Caenorhabditis elegans: one gene and its partners. The protein of the gene in region 3 interacts with the protein of the main gene of each other region in a biochemical or structural test. Each region holds a gene or a part of one and is shown on either strand. Other genes may lie near its edges. The genes, in order: pxl-1, rnf-5 and unc-95.

The links.
Region 1: the proteins of unc-95 (region 3) and pxl-1 form a complex in vitro, tested with the Caenorhabditis elegans proteins (one study listed by BioGRID).
Region 2: of the proteins of unc-95 (region 3) and rnf-5, one has a biochemical effect on the other in vitro, tested with the Caenorhabditis elegans proteins (one study listed by BioGRID).

Annotation. Positions count from the first base shown.
Region 1 is NC_003281.10:5,893,490-5,898,864, forward strand, and holds the start of pxl-1 (Paxillin homolog 1), read right to left. Parts: upstream 2,523-5,375; 5' UTR 2,518-2,522; coding exon 2,472-2,517; intron 2,191-2,471; coding exon 2,061-2,190; intron 1,986-2,060; coding exon 1,897-1,985; intron 1,851-1,896; coding exon 1,757-1,850; intron 798-1,756; exon of another isoform or gene 740-797; coding exon of another isoform or gene 642-739; coding exon 590-641; intron 1-589. UniProt on the Caenorhabditis elegans protein: Required for myofilament organization of the pharyngeal sarcomeres and for pharyngeal muscle contractions and hence for pharyngeal pumping. Together with lin-8, might be required for myofilament organization in the body wall muscles.
Region 2 is NC_003281.10:4,164,264-4,169,638, reverse strand, and holds rnf-5 (E3 ubiquitin ligase rnf-5), read left to right. Parts: upstream 1-2,793; 5' UTR 2,794-2,805; coding exon 2,806-2,873; intron 2,874-3,474; coding exon 3,475-3,721; intron 3,722-4,278; coding exon 4,279-4,549; intron 4,550-4,974; coding exon 4,975-5,096; 3' UTR 5,097-5,364; downstream 5,365-5,375. Other genes in the region: E3 ubiquitin ligase rnf-121, read left to right, coding at 251-370, 430-550; ccdc-55 (Nuclear speckle splicing regulatory protein 1 homolog), read left to right, coding at 874-984, 1,172-1,321, 1,671-2,588.
Region 3 is NC_003279.8:14,381,945-14,387,319, reverse strand, and holds the start of unc-95 (LIM domain-containing protein unc-95), read left to right. Parts: upstream 1-2,582; coding exon 2,583-2,805; intron 2,806-3,933; exon of another isoform or gene 3,934-4,021; intron 4,022-4,275; coding exon 4,276-4,364; intron 4,365-4,414; coding exon 4,415-4,562; intron 4,563-5,222; coding exon 5,223-5,375. UniProt on the Caenorhabditis elegans protein: Required for the assembly and integrity of muscle dense bodies, which establish the adhesion sites of the muscle cells to the extracellular matrix.

The DNA of each region.
Region 1 (5,375 bases), on a different chromosome or scaffold from region 3:
TAAGTGAAAGAATTGTGGATTTTGATAAACCATACTAGTAATAGTCCATCATGACCTAATACCATATTTAAACACTCTACATTTTTTCTTGAGATTTTTGAAAGTTTTGTCAAGAAATGGTCAACTTAGAACAATTGAACAAAAATTAAATAATATTCTGGTGGATTTCTTGAATTACCAGTGGCAAAACCCGAGTAATTGCCAATTTTTGACAGTAAATTGAATATTTCAAAAAACATTTTGAAATTATTTTTATTTCAAAAAGTCCCAAAAATTTCAAGAAACCTTTATTTTAAAAGAATGACCGAATTTTCTACTTTGTAGTCATGTGACCAAAATAGGAAAAACTACAAATTCATAAAGTTTGCGTCTAAGTTGAATACATATCGTTCAGGATCAGTAAATTAGGTTTTAAAATTTGTGAACACAGAAATATCCGGAATTAGATTTGTAGAGATTGGGAAAGTTTAATGAAGATTCTGGGATTTTGAAAATTCTAATTTAAGGACATTTTTAATTAAGGTCTCCCAACGAAAACATTTCAGTTTCCCTTCCCAGAAGCTCCCCCCGAAAAGAAATAAAAACTTACGACATCAGAGTAGGATTGTGCCTGACTTGGTGGTCCGAGACTCTTGCGTGAGCTATAAACCGAATGATGTTGTTGGTGGTTTGAATGACTATTTTGTGCATAATTTGGACCATTGAAATGGTCAAGCCGTTGTTGCAACTCGCGCATCATTCCGCCAAGTGATAGGTAAAAGTGTTGTGTGCGTGGAAAAGAAAAAGGTGTGCTGCTCCTTTTCTCTATATTTTTCTTTCTCACTTGATAGAGAGTAGGTACTCTCCCGCCCTACAGCATTTTACCCCTGTTGAGCTCAAGAGATACTGAGCAAGACGAAGAAACTCAGTGAAAAATAAAATAACCGGCTCCTCCTCTGTACCGGGGAAGAAGAGATGATTTGCGACACGGGATGAGACGAGTAGAAGTAATATGCGTGTATGTTATTAGTCTTTTTTCTCGTTCTTCCCTTCACATTTGAGTTTTTGTTTGTTCCCGGGATTTTAGACGCAGAAACACGGGAAATGACCTAAGAGCCGGCGGGAAAATGGAACACGGAGTTGGCATTTTGATAAACGGGCTTGACCATTTCAAATCGGAATTTTCTAGTTTTATATTTTCAACATTTTTATTTTCGGAGCTATTTTTGGAACTTAAAGGCCATTTTTCTTTTGTTGTCTGGAAAGCTTTTAGAAATTAAAAAAATATATATCTGAACCAATTTTCGTGATATACATAAGTTTTCAATTTTTTTGAAGATGCACAAAAAATGTTGATATAAAAATTAACAATTTTCAACAAATCTTATAAAAATGTCGAGGCCTTAAGTGAACTTTCTAGGCTACAAAAAATTATGAATTTTCGAATTAAAATGCCTAATAGAATTCTAAATTCTGAATTGTTGGTCTAACATTTTTTGTGTGTTCTAGGCCATTGATTTATATTTTCGCATTCTCAGATGTAAGATGTTAATGTTTTACAGATTTTTTTGAAAGTGCCAATCAAAATTTTTTAAATTTTTCCTTTTAAGAATCCTAATCGCAAGATTCTTGAAATTATTAAATCAGAAGATTTGAAATTAATATTTAAATTGACTCATAGTATAGCTTTTTAAAAGGTTTTTCTAGGCCACGAATTTCAAAATATGACTCCGAAGATAAAAATGTTTTCAAAAAAACAAAAAACGTTTTCTCCTACCTGCTTGCTCGAATTGGTGGTTCTTCGACTTGAGACAATAGACTTTGGACACTTGGACGTGAATAGACTGGTGGGTTAAGTCTTGATTCATTTTCTACAGATACAATTACATATTAATGTTCTTTACATGAAAAACAAACCATAAATCCTTTCCTGACTTTTTGAATAATCTTTTCCTTCTGACGAACGACGTTTGTAGGGTGAAGTGGTTATATTTCCATTGCTCACACTGACACAAATATTAGATGTTTAGTTTATGTTAAAACATGTATGGAAAGGTTTGTAACATTAAAAAAAAACTAACCTCTGTGTGTTAAGATTTCCCTGAAGATCATAGGATTGCTCAAAATCATCACGACTCTGTGAGCGGCGATCACTTATATGAGCACGGCGGAGCACTTCTGTGGTGTGTTGAAGATCCGATAGAAGGGCTTCTGAAATTAAAATAATATATTTATTTATTTTTTGTTTCAATTACAGAATTTGAACTCTTCAATGTTTCAAATTGAAAAGTGAAAACCCACTTTTTAAGAATTTTATTATTGAAAACTATCAAGTATGAAAATCATATAAATTTTCAAAATTATGATAATTCCATCCAAATATTAATAAGTTTCCCATTAATCAAAAAACTCATAATTTCCAAACTAGTACTACGACTACTACTGGGAGCATTTCTCCACCGGAAAGCCTCCATTAGAAAGTTCTTGGGTACCTAAAGCTGGTTTAACCGCATCCGCAAAACGATCGTCGCTTGGCATTCTTACTGAAATATTCAAAAAATGTTCAGGAGAAAATCAAGAAAAAAACAATTAAAAGGCGGACGAAAGAGCTTTATTAGAAGTTATAATGTAATTGGATTTTATAAAAAGTCCAAAATTCAGTTATTTCAGAACCTCAGAATGCAACCCGACGGCTTAGTCAAGTTTCGGAAAATCAACAAATTATCAATTGATCGAATTTACAACAAGATGTTCAAAATAGTAAAAAACGGTACCAATGAGGGTGTATAAAAGAAGGAAAAGTGCAATAATAGATGAGTGTGTATGCATGTGTATGGGGACCACTAAAAATGTGAGAGAATGTGTCAAAATATGTGTGAGTGAGTGGAAAAAAGTGGGAGGAAGAAGACAAAAAACGATGAAGAAGCCGACAAAAAAAAAGAAAAAAGGAAGAAAGAAAGAGGAGGAGAAGGAAAAAAGATTTATGGAGATGACATAAAAGAAGTACAAAACATTGAAAAAAGAATAGCATCTGGATAACAAAAATACAAATTTTTATTTATAAAAATTACAGTTTGATGAGGAATCCTCAGAAAATAATCCAGTAGCCTAAGTTTTTAAAATATTGAAAAGGATGTCTAATAGTAAGTAGACACTTCACCTCTCAAATTTTTAAAGTAGAAGTGTCTACTTTTCATTAAAAAAATTTAAATTAGAAGTGTCTATTTTCCCATAAAAAATTTTTTAATGTAGATATGTCTACTTTCCATATATTTTAATTTGATTAATTTGCTTCTCAGAATAGGAATGATCATTTTGATATTAGTTAAAGCTTGATCAATAGGAAAACTTAGTTTAATTGTGAAAAAGTGTTAAGATAATTTTGGTTCAAATTTAAAATTGTGAAAAAAAAACTTTTTTGTAGAATTCCAAAATTAAGAAGGTGAGAACTAGCCACTTTTTGACTACACTATTTTAAAAAAACATTTGAACCGTTTTCTATGATATTAGGACATTTTAGCAACATATAGGAATGGTTTTATGCAATTCAGTTCGTTAAGAGTTTTTTCAATTACACATATTCCTAGTACATGTTTTTGCTAATTGAATTGAAATTTAATTAGAAAATAATCCAGGTTGCTGGAAATAATTGGTACTTGGAAAAGGGATCGATAACGAGGAAATATTTAAAAAAACCTTGAAAGTCAAATCAGTAATCCAATCTAGTAATCCAATCTCTCTTTTTCGAAAAAAAAAATTTTTGGAAAATCTAAATAAATTATTAGCAACATGACCGCCAAAGAAAGCGATGACCGAGGTATCCCTTTTCTCGGCCAAGTAGCAGAAGTCTCCCTATGACAAGAGATACATTGAAATCACATATTCCGTTTGAATAGATCACATTTTAAACGGTGTTGTGAAACCGGATCGAGTACTAAAGGAACATGCCAATCATGCATGAAAAATGAGAAATGTCAAAACTTTTATGAATTTCTACGGTATATTGTGAAAGTTGTTTGGAAGTTCTTGAAACTTCTTGAAACTATTATTTTACCAGAATATTATTTGATTTAAGGAAAAACTAGAAAATGGAACATGGGAATTCTTCATGATCTTGGCCCTTAATCTTTAGGAGTTTCTTCAAAAAAGAGAAGAGATAGACGATAAAAGGAAATAGTGTGAAAGTTAAAGAGATACAGAGACAGACACATAAACGACACATAGAAAAGAGCGGGAAGAAATGGAGGCAAAGTTTTTGTTTTTGAATCAAGAATGAGCGGGAGGAAGAGATTGAGATGTACACAGGCTTGAGGGAATTCGAATTGAATTCGATTGAAATGTAACTAAACGGCTGCCGTAAGATAGTAAGTACGACGGTTGATCTAAAAATGATACAGTTTCTAAAAATGTGGCTCTATACAATTGATGAAATTTATTAATGGTACTGGCTCTAAAGACTCTAGATAAAACTCTCCACTGGTTAGAAAGAAAACTATGCTCTAAAATGTCTTGTAATAGTTAGTGAAGCTAGCAAAAAAAGTCTCCAAGAGACTCAAGAGATCTGCTCACAGTAAAACAAAAAAACGCGTCAAGAGTGTCTCTCGCCTCCCACCGCATGCTTTAACTTTTTGATGACAAGTTTGCGCCGCCACGGATATAAATAAAACCATCGAAATGACTTTGAAAAGATCATGGAGATCCGAAGAGACACATACGAGCATATCGTAATTCAAACAGAAAAAAAGTTTGCAAAATGTTTCAAGTAGGTTTCGAAAGGAGAGTGTACCTAGGGATCAGTTGTGGAAGACGGAATTTGTGGAAAATTTAGAAAACAAAATTATTATAAATTCTTAAAATATGGGATAATTTTTTACACTGTCCCGTAAGAAAATTCGGTCACCAATTTTATTTTCGGGACCACGTACCGTATTCAAGATTCAAGTTTTTAAGGCAAGTAGGTAAAAAATGCCAGCTTGTATACACCCGTTTTTGTACGCGAACATTTCACATTTAATTCTATAATTTGAAATTACCAAAATCGGGGAAATTCGTAAATCTTCAAACAAAAAATTCAGAAAATAGACGGTAAGTAGACACATAGATATATAAATTATTTTTTTATTCAACACTTTGAATTGTATTTTTAGTTTTTCTTCTATACCATTAAAACTTTAATAATTCTATACGGAGCAGGAAGGAGTTCACAGACATCTATGAATGGGCGGAGCCAAATTTAGAAAAAAAAATCAAAAATATGAAACAAAAATTGAAATATCAATAGAAAAAGCTGAGGAGAAAAGTGATTGGAATCAGTGGCAAGAGGCAAATCACAGCTGTTCGTGTTGCTAAACAAGTGAGCGGGCATCATGAGGGAAAAAGTGATAGGTGGGCGGAAA
Region 2 (5,375 bases), on a different chromosome or scaffold from region 3:
TTTTTTGCGTTGGCACGGTGCCAGGTCCGGAAAACGTAGATCCGGAATTCCACCAGATCTTGAATCCGTGGTGCCTCAATAAATAAAATTTGATTAACATTTTTTTGTTGAAAAATTGACGAAAATCCGGTGCACCAGAAATTTAAAATTTACAGTACTCTTTAAAGGCGCGCACCCTTTTGCATTTAACAAAGTAAATCGACACATGAGGCTAGAAAGCTCTTGTTAAACTTAAAATCAATAATTTCAGACTCTCATGTGGCCACGTTTTTCACGAATTCTGTATCAGAGGATGGGTAGTTGTTGGAAAACTTCAAACATGCCCGTATTGCAAAGAACGTGTCGATTTACAGAGAATGTTTAAAAATCCGTTAGTTTTTTGAAAAAATCAAATTTAATTATAAATTCTTTAAAAATTTTCAATTTCAGATGGGAGAAACCTCATTTATTCTATGGAAAATTGCTTGACTGGATCCGTTATCTCGTCTGCTGGCAGCCATTGATTGTAACAGCTGTTCAAGGACTCACCACATGGATGGGATTGGAATAGGAATCTTTTTATTTTAATTTTTACTTATTTATTTTTATTTAATAATTTCTAACTGCATCCCAAAGTTATCAAATAGTCACAAATACACACAAAAATTGTCATTCCAATTGCATTTTTATTCTCGTTTTTTCATTTTTTCTCGTTACTTCTTTTTTGCCGGGCACCGGGTGATTTTTCTGATTTCTTTGAAAAAAAAATTACGACTTTATTTATTCTTCCTGTTTAATTTTTATTTCCAATTCCCGTTCACAGCGGTGTTTTATATCTGAAACTGTATCCTTTGGATTCTTTTAATTGGAAAAATAAAATAAAAAAGTTTTTAGATGGCATCAAAACGGCATGTAGGATTAAATATTCGGAAAAAAGATGAACCGAAAGCTGCTCCAATTCGAGTTTCCAGTGTTTTTGGAGACGATGATGATGATGATAATGTGGTAAAATTCAGAGAAGTTTGAAAAATTTAGTGTAGGAGAAAAAGTTTTCAAACAACAAAGAAATGACCGAAAATTATCAAAAATAATTTTTTCCTACTAGCAATTTTAAACATTTTTAGTTTTTGACTATTTTTCGATTTAGAAAAGCTTTTATAAATTTCTGAATTATAAATTTCTTACTTTTCAGCCAGCCACAGCTACCAATATGGCATCAGCTTCAGTTATTCGTGTGCAAAAAGCAGCAGAACGAGAACATCAAAAGGCAGAAGCCGAGGATCCGACGATTTTCGATTATGACGGGAATTACGATGAAATTCAGGCGATTAAGAATGAAAAAGTGAGGGCTCGAAAAGTTGAAAATCGAAAAAAAAAATACTAAAAATAAAACGAAAAAGTGTAGATTTTAAAACCATTAACAAAGAATTTTCGATAAGAAAATATGAAAAAAAAATTTTCAACAAATAAAACAATTTATATAATAAGTTTCCACTAACAATTTTGATATTTTTTTAAATCTAAAAAATGGACAAGAATAAACGAACATTTTCGATTTTTCGGGTTTTTAGAGAATCGAAAATTTTTCGTTAAAAAAGAAAAAAAAACACATCTTTAACCAAAAATGGTTTGTTTCAGAAGTTTCAGTATTTTTAGGCTGAAAAATTCAACTAACAGCTTTGTTTTTGCAGAAAGAAGAAGCTCGAAAAGCGGACAAAAATCGTGAATCGAAATACGCGGAGAACATCATTAAAGCCCATGCTCGTCGCCAACTCGAACAATTTTCTCGTGAAGAACGCCAACAACTCAGAGAACGAGAGAAAGAAGGCGATGAATTTGATGATAAAGAAGTTTTTGTAACTGGAGCATACCGTAAGCAACAGGAAGAAGTGAAGAAACATCGGGAACAAGAAGCTGAAGAAGCTGCTTTTAATGATATGACAAGTGTTCAGAAACAGAAATTATGGGAAATTGGTATGGGAAGGACGCTTTTAAACGATTTGGCAAGAGATCCTACAGCTATTAAACAGAGGAAGAAAGAGCAGAAAAATGTGAGAAAACGGGAAGATTCTGATGAAGAAATTGATCCGAAACCGGAAAAATCGGATAAGAAACCAGCCGAAAAGCTTAAAAAATCAATTTATTCCGATGATTCTGACGAGGAAAAAGCACCAAAACCTCCACAAAAAAATTTCGAAGGAGATCTTAAACCTGGCCTGAATACGGTATCAAAAAAAAAAGCAACGACTCACGCAGAGAGAATCCGTCAGCGAAACTACACTCCAACACCTCCATCTTCAGATGATGAAGGTGCAAGAGCTCCACGAGCTCGGAGAAGGACTTCAAGCCCGTCACCAACTTCAAGGAAGTCCATAGAATCGAGAGAATCAGGGAGTAGAAGATCGCCTGAAGGGAAATCTGAAAAATCTGAAAAAGCGCCGAAAATCTCGCTTAAAGATAAGCTGAAGCCGAAGAAAATCGATAAAGAAGCAAGATTAGACGGACTCAAAGAAATTCTGAAGCAGCGGAATACAGAAGAAGATATTGAGGCAGCGAGGCAAAGATATTTCGAGAGAAAGGAGCAAGGAATTGTTGTACCTCCATTGTAAAATTTAATTTTTATTTATTTTTTCTTTGTTTGTTTTTTTCAATTGCTGGTTAAAATTCCAATCTCCCAATTTTCCAATTCCAGACCTAATGAAATATCCAATTTCAATTTCCAATGTTCATTTTTTAAAAACTTCTATGGTTATCTCTACCATTTTTATATATTTTAATACGTGATTTCAGAGAGAATTAAATAAGGAATTTCAGAGTTCGGAGCCAATGGCGTCGGAGACGAAAGCTCCATCCGAGGAGCCCACGAGCTCCAGTAATAAAGATGAATCTGCGAGGTAAATTTAGAAAAAAATCGATGTTTTAATCGTTAGACATAACAAATGACCGGAAATTAAAAAAACGAATTTTTATTGATTAATTTTTTTTGAGAAATCTAAAATTACATATTTTCTGTTTTTTTTTTTTAATTATTTTTCCGAATAATTTCTCTATTTTTGCTGTAAATTTTCAAAAAACGGCAGTTTATCTAAATACTTTTACGACACTTTAAAACATCCGAAAAACTACGAATTAACCAGAAATGTTTTGATTTTAATGAGAACAGATTCAAAGATAACCGAAAATTATTTTTAAAAAAGGAGTTTTCCGGAAAATCAACAAGAAACCGAAATACGAGAAAAAAAATCCGACAGAAAATATTACAGTTATTTTCAAAAATTTCAAAAAAAGTAGGAAAAACGAAAATGGCCTAAGTTTTGAATTTACAAGCAGTATGTCTTCAAAAAAAAGTTATCAAAACTAATAATTTTCCCGAAAAATTGACAAAAAAATCGAAGAATTTTAAAAACTGACTCTTTTCAAATTTTTCGTATTTTCACCGTTTCTAAAAATACAAGTTTCCAGAATTTCCAAAATTTAATAATCGTAATTTTGCAGATTTGAATGTAATATTTGTTTGGACGCAGCAAAAGATGCAGTCGTTTCCCTATGTGGACATCTTTTTTGTTGGCCATGTCTGAGTCAATGGCTTGATACTCGTCCAAATAATCAAGTTTGTCCAGTGTGTAAAAGTGCAATTGATGGGAATAAAGTTGTACCGATCTATGGAAGAGGTGGCGATTCATCGGATCCACGTAAAAAAGTTCCACCACGTCCAAAAGGACAACGAAGTGAACCACCACCGGTATGCACTACTCATGCACTGATTAACACTTCTGAACTACTTAAAAAAAGACATTATGCTATTTTTTTCAATTTTCTCATCATCATCATCAAATTTTACTTTTTTTTAAATGAAAAAAAGAAGAAAAATTTCACATGATTATAACAAAAAGACCGGTTTTATTGGAAAGTGTTTTCTATAATTTTAACCGAATTTTTCTTAAATGTTCGGCAAATATAGTTTTATCGGAAATTAATGTCTCTTTCAAACACATAATTTCTTTTTTAAATAAATAATAAAAAGAGAAAAAAGAAAACAATTGCTAAAGGAAATTTTTAAGCCAAAAACACGATAAAAAGCCAAGTGTTTTTAAACATAAATTTTTCAAAAAAAAAAAAAAAATTTTCGAACTTTTTAGAAAGCTGACAAAATGTTTGCTTTTTGCACAATTTTTCTTTAAGAAAAAATAACCAATTTATAATTTATTAAAAAATCTAAATAAATACCAAAATAATCCCAAAAAGCGCATAACACACACACACCCAAAAACTAACAAAATCTCGAAAACCCTCTTTCAGCAATCATTTGCCGGTTTCAATTGGGGTGGCGATGGCGGAATGATGGGCGGCGGCGGACCAAATGTGCATTTTTCATTTGGAATTGGTACGGTGAATGGTCTGTTCCCGTTGATGTTCATGCTACCTTTCATTCAAGGCATCTTCCCATTGTCATTTGTTGCTTCATTCTTTGGAAATGGTAATCAAGGAGCAGCAGCAGCTGGTGGTGGAAATGGTGGAGGAAATGACGGAAATGATGGTACACATGCACATACTCATGGACATACACATGGTAATTAGAGTTTTAGGGAAAATTCCAGATTTTTCGATTATTTTTGAAGAAAAATCAGAAAAATCCAAGAAAAAAGTTTTTTTTCTATTAAAGAATTAAAAAAAAAGAACTTATTTAAATTTGTTTTTTTGATTTTTACATTTTTTAAATAGGAAAATTCTAAAATTCTGAAAAAATTTACTAAAAAAATACGAGGAAACTGTAAAAAATAAAAAATTTAATAATTAAAAAAACTAGAATTTCTGAAAAATTCTGAAATTTTGCCAGATTTGATAACATTAGAAAAAAAAACTTTGTTAGAAAAATTTCAGAAAATAAAAACAAACAAAAAATGTATAAACATTTGGAAAACTCTAACTCTATAATTTTAACCAGAAAAGCAAAAATTTTCGATTTTTCTCTGAAAAAAAACCGAAAATTTTCAGGACCCCGTGGACACGGAGAATCAGCTGCACCGGGATCAAGAATGGCTCAAGAAGAGGAATATTTGTCGAATATTTTCAAATATATTGGATTTTTTATGCTTTTCTGGCTTCTATTCGTCTAAAAATCCCATTTTTTCTGCTTTTTTTACTAAAAAAATCCGACATTCCTCATATTCTTTTCACCTGTATTTTCTAACAATTTGTATAATTATTAGTTTTTTTCCGCATCCGATCCAGAAAATATTCCATTTTTTGTATTATAAAAACAAAAAAAATTTCCCTAATATAATATTTTATTAATCCTTTCTTTTCTCTCAATCTGTGTTACTTTTCCTCGTCGATTCTATCCACATTTCCTGGTTTTTTCTCGTATAAAACGATTAGTTTCCCACTTTTTTCTG
Region 3 (5,375 bases):
AAAAATCACTTAAGTTTCGCGAAACAGGAATCACACACAGAAAACTTATTGTGAATTAAAGTCAAAAATTGAAGCTACCGTATATTCTCTATTATAGCGGCACGCCTCAATATATAATCCTATTTCAGAAACAGTCAGCGGAAAAAATACGAAATATCATGGTGGAATGACTAATCCGCTAGATAATTGAAAAGAAAATGTATATTTGGATGAAAATGAGGATTTTTGTTTTGAGGATATACCATTACTACGGCCAGATTGGATAAATAACATTAAACAGAATGATTACGTTGTTATAATTGTAAAAGCCAAGATCTCTGTGGACCAGGGGTGAGCGGCAAACGATTTGTTGCAGCAAAATTTTTTTTGTTGAAAATATCAGAATTTCAATTTTAATCGGAAAAAATGTGTTCCTACATCTATTCATGTTCCTACATCTATTCTGAAAAGCAGGCATATTCTAAGAAAATATCTTTTAAAAAACCCGGAAAATTTTCAAAAAGACACATTATAAAAAAATTGGGTCTAAAAACTTCTGGCAAGTTCATATCCGGCAAACCGGAAAATTGCCGGAATTGAAAATTTCCGGCGAATCGGCAAACCGGCAATTTGCCGACAATGAAAAATTCGGGAAACTTGGCCAACCGGAATATTGCCGAAAATAAAAATTTCCGGCAAGTCGGACAAACCGGCAATTTGCCGGAATTGAACATTTTCGACAACTCGGCAAATTCCGAAATTGAAACTGTCCGGCAAATCGGCAAACCAGCAATTTGCTGAAATTGAAAAATTCGGGAAACTTGGCAAACCGGAATATTGCCGAAAATAAAAATTTCCGGCAAGTCGGACAAACCGGCAATTTGCCGGAATTGAACATTTTCGACAACTCGGCAAATTCCGAAATTGAAACTGTCCGGCAAATCGGCAAACCAGCAATTTGCTGAAATTGAAAAATTCGGGAAACTTGGCAAACCGGAATATTGCCGAAAATAAAAATTTCCGGCAAGTCGGACAAACCGGCAATTTGCCGGAATTGAACATTTTCGACAACTCGGCAAATTCCGAAATTGAAACTGTCCGGCAAATCGGCAAACCAGCAATTTGCTGAAATTGAAAAATTCGGGAAACTTGGCAAACCGGAATATTGCCGAAAATAAAAATTTCCGGCAAGTCGGACAAACCGGCAAATTGCCGGAATTGAACATTTTCGACAACTCGGCAAATTCCGAAATTGAAACTGTCCGGCAAATCGGCAAACCAGCAATTTGCTGAAATTGAAAATTTTCGACAAATCGGCAAACTGCCGGAATTGAAAATTTCCGGCAACTCGGCAAACCGGCAATTTGCCAAAAATGAAAAATTCTGGAAACTTGGCAAACCGGAAAATTGCCGAAAATAAAAATTTCCGGCAAGTCGGACAAACCCGCAAATTGCCGGAATTGAAAATTTCCGGCAAACCGGCAAATTCCGAAATTGAAATTGTCCGGCAACTCGGCAAACCGAAAATTTGCCGATTTGCCCAGTTTTTTTTGCTATTACCGCCCACCCCTGAGCTATATACAAATGTTGTTTTAAAAAATTTATAAGACCGTGTAACAAATTGCTTGTCAGTTGGCAGTTTTTGGGGATTTTGTCTAAATACACTTATATCATAAGAAAAAAAATCCAAAAAATCCAAACATATCATAATAAAGCACTCCAAAATTTTTTAGATTTTCCATAATTTCCGGTCAAAGTTTTGGCACATTGCCAAAATTTTGAAAACTACGAGATTTTGAGGAAATTTATAAAAATGTCGCATGTTTCGACCCCTACAATGTTTTAATTCAAATAATTTAAACAAAATTGTATTAAAAAGTATTAAAAAAATTGGAAATTTTTTTTTTTTTTTTTGAATCAATCGACCTCCAAAATAATGAGTGGCAAAACTGAGTAATCACTACAGTCACTACTTTTTGACAGTAAATAAAAAATTTTCAAAAATTTTTTGAAAAGTTTTATCATGATATTTGGTCATTTTTGGACCAAAGGAGTGGTTTTTAATAATTTCCCCACTGGCGCTACTCCACCTTTAATTACCGTATAGTATACGTGCATAGTATTATGGTACTAGTTAATACCCTAACTCACGGTAACAAATTCAAAAAAAAAAGAGCAAAAAATTCAAATAATTTCAACAAATCGATCTTTGTAGACTCCTCGATCTTCGTCTCTATCTCTCATTCCTCATTGTCTTCTCCTCACCATCATCTGCCGGGCAGATTCTGCCCCCGCAGTAGCCTGCTCTCTTCTGCCGGTGAGAGCATATGTTGTAATATATTTCTGTTGCTGCTTCTTGCTTTCCTCTCCCTTCATACACATCAGTGTACCACTGCTGTGTCGATTTTCCTCTACGTTTTCCTTTACACGAATTTGAACTAACACGATTTTTTTCTTTATTTGTTGTATTATACTTTTTTATTTAGACACCTAGAATTTAGGTGCACACTAGTTAAATATTGAAAATGCCATTATTAACCTCTTACTCAGTCTCACAGAAAAACCCAAAAATGTTCACCTCCTCCTCCTACTCAAAATTCCAGATGACTATATCCCCTCAACCCAGCCATCAACAATTCGAATCTTATCAATGGACTACGGAATCTCGTAGTAGTCAACAGAGACATGGCACCGGGACCCCGTCTCAGGATGGTCGGCTCTCTGCGATTCCGGATCCTGTGGAGCGCCACGTGGCCCGGTGGCGTAGTGAGAGCAGGAATTCCAATAAGGATAAGGTGTTCCGTAATGATGAGGAGTTTAGTCAACGTGAGTCGAAGTTAGGGGGTCCTCTGGGGGGGGGGGGGGGGGGTATGTTAAACTAATGGGAAATGTTAAACTAAAGAATTGAGGTGTAATACTCAATTAACTTTGAAAATAACAAAATTTTGTGTTAACTATACTAGAATGTCAAAATTAACAGAAAATGATTGGATTTTACCCAAAAATGGTCCAATTTTGACTGAAAACAGTCGGATTTAGACCAAAAATTGTCCAAAATTCGCCCAAAAATCTATCATTTTTGGTTTAAAAAGGTCGGATTTTGACCGAAAATAGTCCAGTTTTGATTGAAAATAGACCAATTTTAACCAAAAAATGGTTTCATTTCGATCACAAATTATCTAATTTTGACCAAACAATTGTTATGTTTTTACCAATAAATGGTTTGAATTTGACCAAAATGGTCCAATTTTGACTGAAAACAGTCGGATTTAGACCAAAAATTGTCCAAAATTCGCCCAAAAATCTATCATTTTTGGCTTAAAAAGGTCGGATTTTGACCGAAAATAGTCCAGTTTTGATTGAAAATAGTCCAATTTTAACCAAAAAAATGGTTTCATTCCGATCACAAATTATCTAATTTTGACCAAACAATTGTTATGTTTTTACCAATAAATGGTTTGAATTTGACCAAAATGGTCCAATTTTGACCAAAAATTTACCGATTTTTAACAAAAAAAAGCCGGATTTGAACTAAAAATTGACCGATTTTAACCAAAAATTGACCGATTTTAACCAAAAATTGACCGATTTTAACCAAAAATTGACCGATTTTCACCAAAAATTGTCTGATTTTGACCAAAAATTGACCGATTTTCTCCAAAAATTATCTGATTTTGACCAAAAAGTAGTCCGATTTTGACAAAAATTGCACGTTTTTGACCAATTTTGACTGAAAACAGTCGGATTTAGACCAAAAATTGTCCAAAATTCGCCCAAAAATCTATCATTTTTGGCTTAAAAAGGTCGGATTTTGACCGAAAATAGTCCAGTTTTGATTGAAAATAGTCCAATTCCGATTTTGATCAGAAAAGTTGGATTTTGACCAAAAATTGTACGATTTGGATCAAAAACGGTCCCTATTAATTTGCTAGTTTTGAGCAGTTAAGCATTAGGTTTAGGCTTAGGCTTAGGCTTTGACTTCGGTTTAGGCTTAGGCTTAGGCTTTGACTTCGGATTAGGCTCAGGCTTAGGCTTAGGCTTAATTTCTATACCTAATTTTCTTATTTCCGTGCCATTTTTTAGCTAGACCTTCCCACAGGAATTTCGGATTTTCAGCTAAATTTTGATTCTCAACATCAGATTTTATTCAAAATTTGCTTATAAAAGAGTCATTTCCAACTTTCTTATGCAGCCGTTTTTTAAGGAAATACCCAAAAAAAAAGTGGTGCACATTTTTAAGCAACAAACCTCTCAGATCATCAAAATCTCTCTGTCTCTATCCCTTACATTTTGCAGAAGACGAGATCGTTAATGGAACACTTACCGCGTTGAAAAACGATGTCGAGCAGACGACCGAGATCATTCGTCGCAAACAAGAACAGATGGTATCGATTTTTTCAGATCTTGTGCGGGAATACATTGAAATTTGTTTCAGAGAATGGAACGTCGTCAATTCCAAACCGAGATGGAAGTCAATGGTAGAATCTCGATTGATCCGACCGACGATTGGCTGGCCGCAAGGTTGAAAGCTGTTAGCTCGGATGACATGAATCAGCAGCTTGTCAAGCTGAAACAGGATCAGAGTAAGATCTCGTTAGAACCCTTAATAGGTTCAGATCGCATCTATAATCTGCTACATAATTCTTTCTAGGCTTTAGGGCACATCTAGATTCCAGCTAGGTCTATCCATAGCATTCGATCATATTTAGACTCCGTATTATGCTTCAGACATTATCCAAAGCCTATGCTAGGCCTCAGACTCCACCTAGACCCCATGTAAGCTTCAGAAGCCATTTTAGCTTCAGTCCCGTCAAGGCCCTTCCTAAGCATCAGATCCAACATATGCCCTATCCTAAGCATCAGAACCACTTCTCCCCCATTCTGAGCCTTTGACTCATTTAGACGTTGTCCTTGGCTTCAGGCCCCTCTAGACCATATTCTGAGCTCTAGATTCCAGCTAGGTCTATCCAAAACCTTCGATCTTACCTAGGCTCCGTATTATGCTTCAGTCCTCATTCAAGTCCTATCCTAAGCCCCTGATCCCATCTAGGCCCCATATCAAGCTTCAGGCCCCTCTATGCCCTTCCTAAGCATCAGATCTCATATAGACCCTCCCTAACCCTTTCTAAGCTTCAAGCCTAATTCAGACCTTACCTAGACCTCCAACAATAGCTTTAGGGCCCAACTGGACCTCCTCCCCCAGCTTCAGGTCTGTTCTTAACTTTCACCGAATCCATTTTCAGGACAAAACGCGGTGACCGACACATTGGCGGCCCTTGTTTACGATGTCAACGCCACGACTGAAGTTTTGCGTCGTGGACAACGTGGACGTGACGGTGAAGATGGAAATAAGAAGAAGAAGGAGGAAATCGAGTACACCTTGAGACTTACACCGG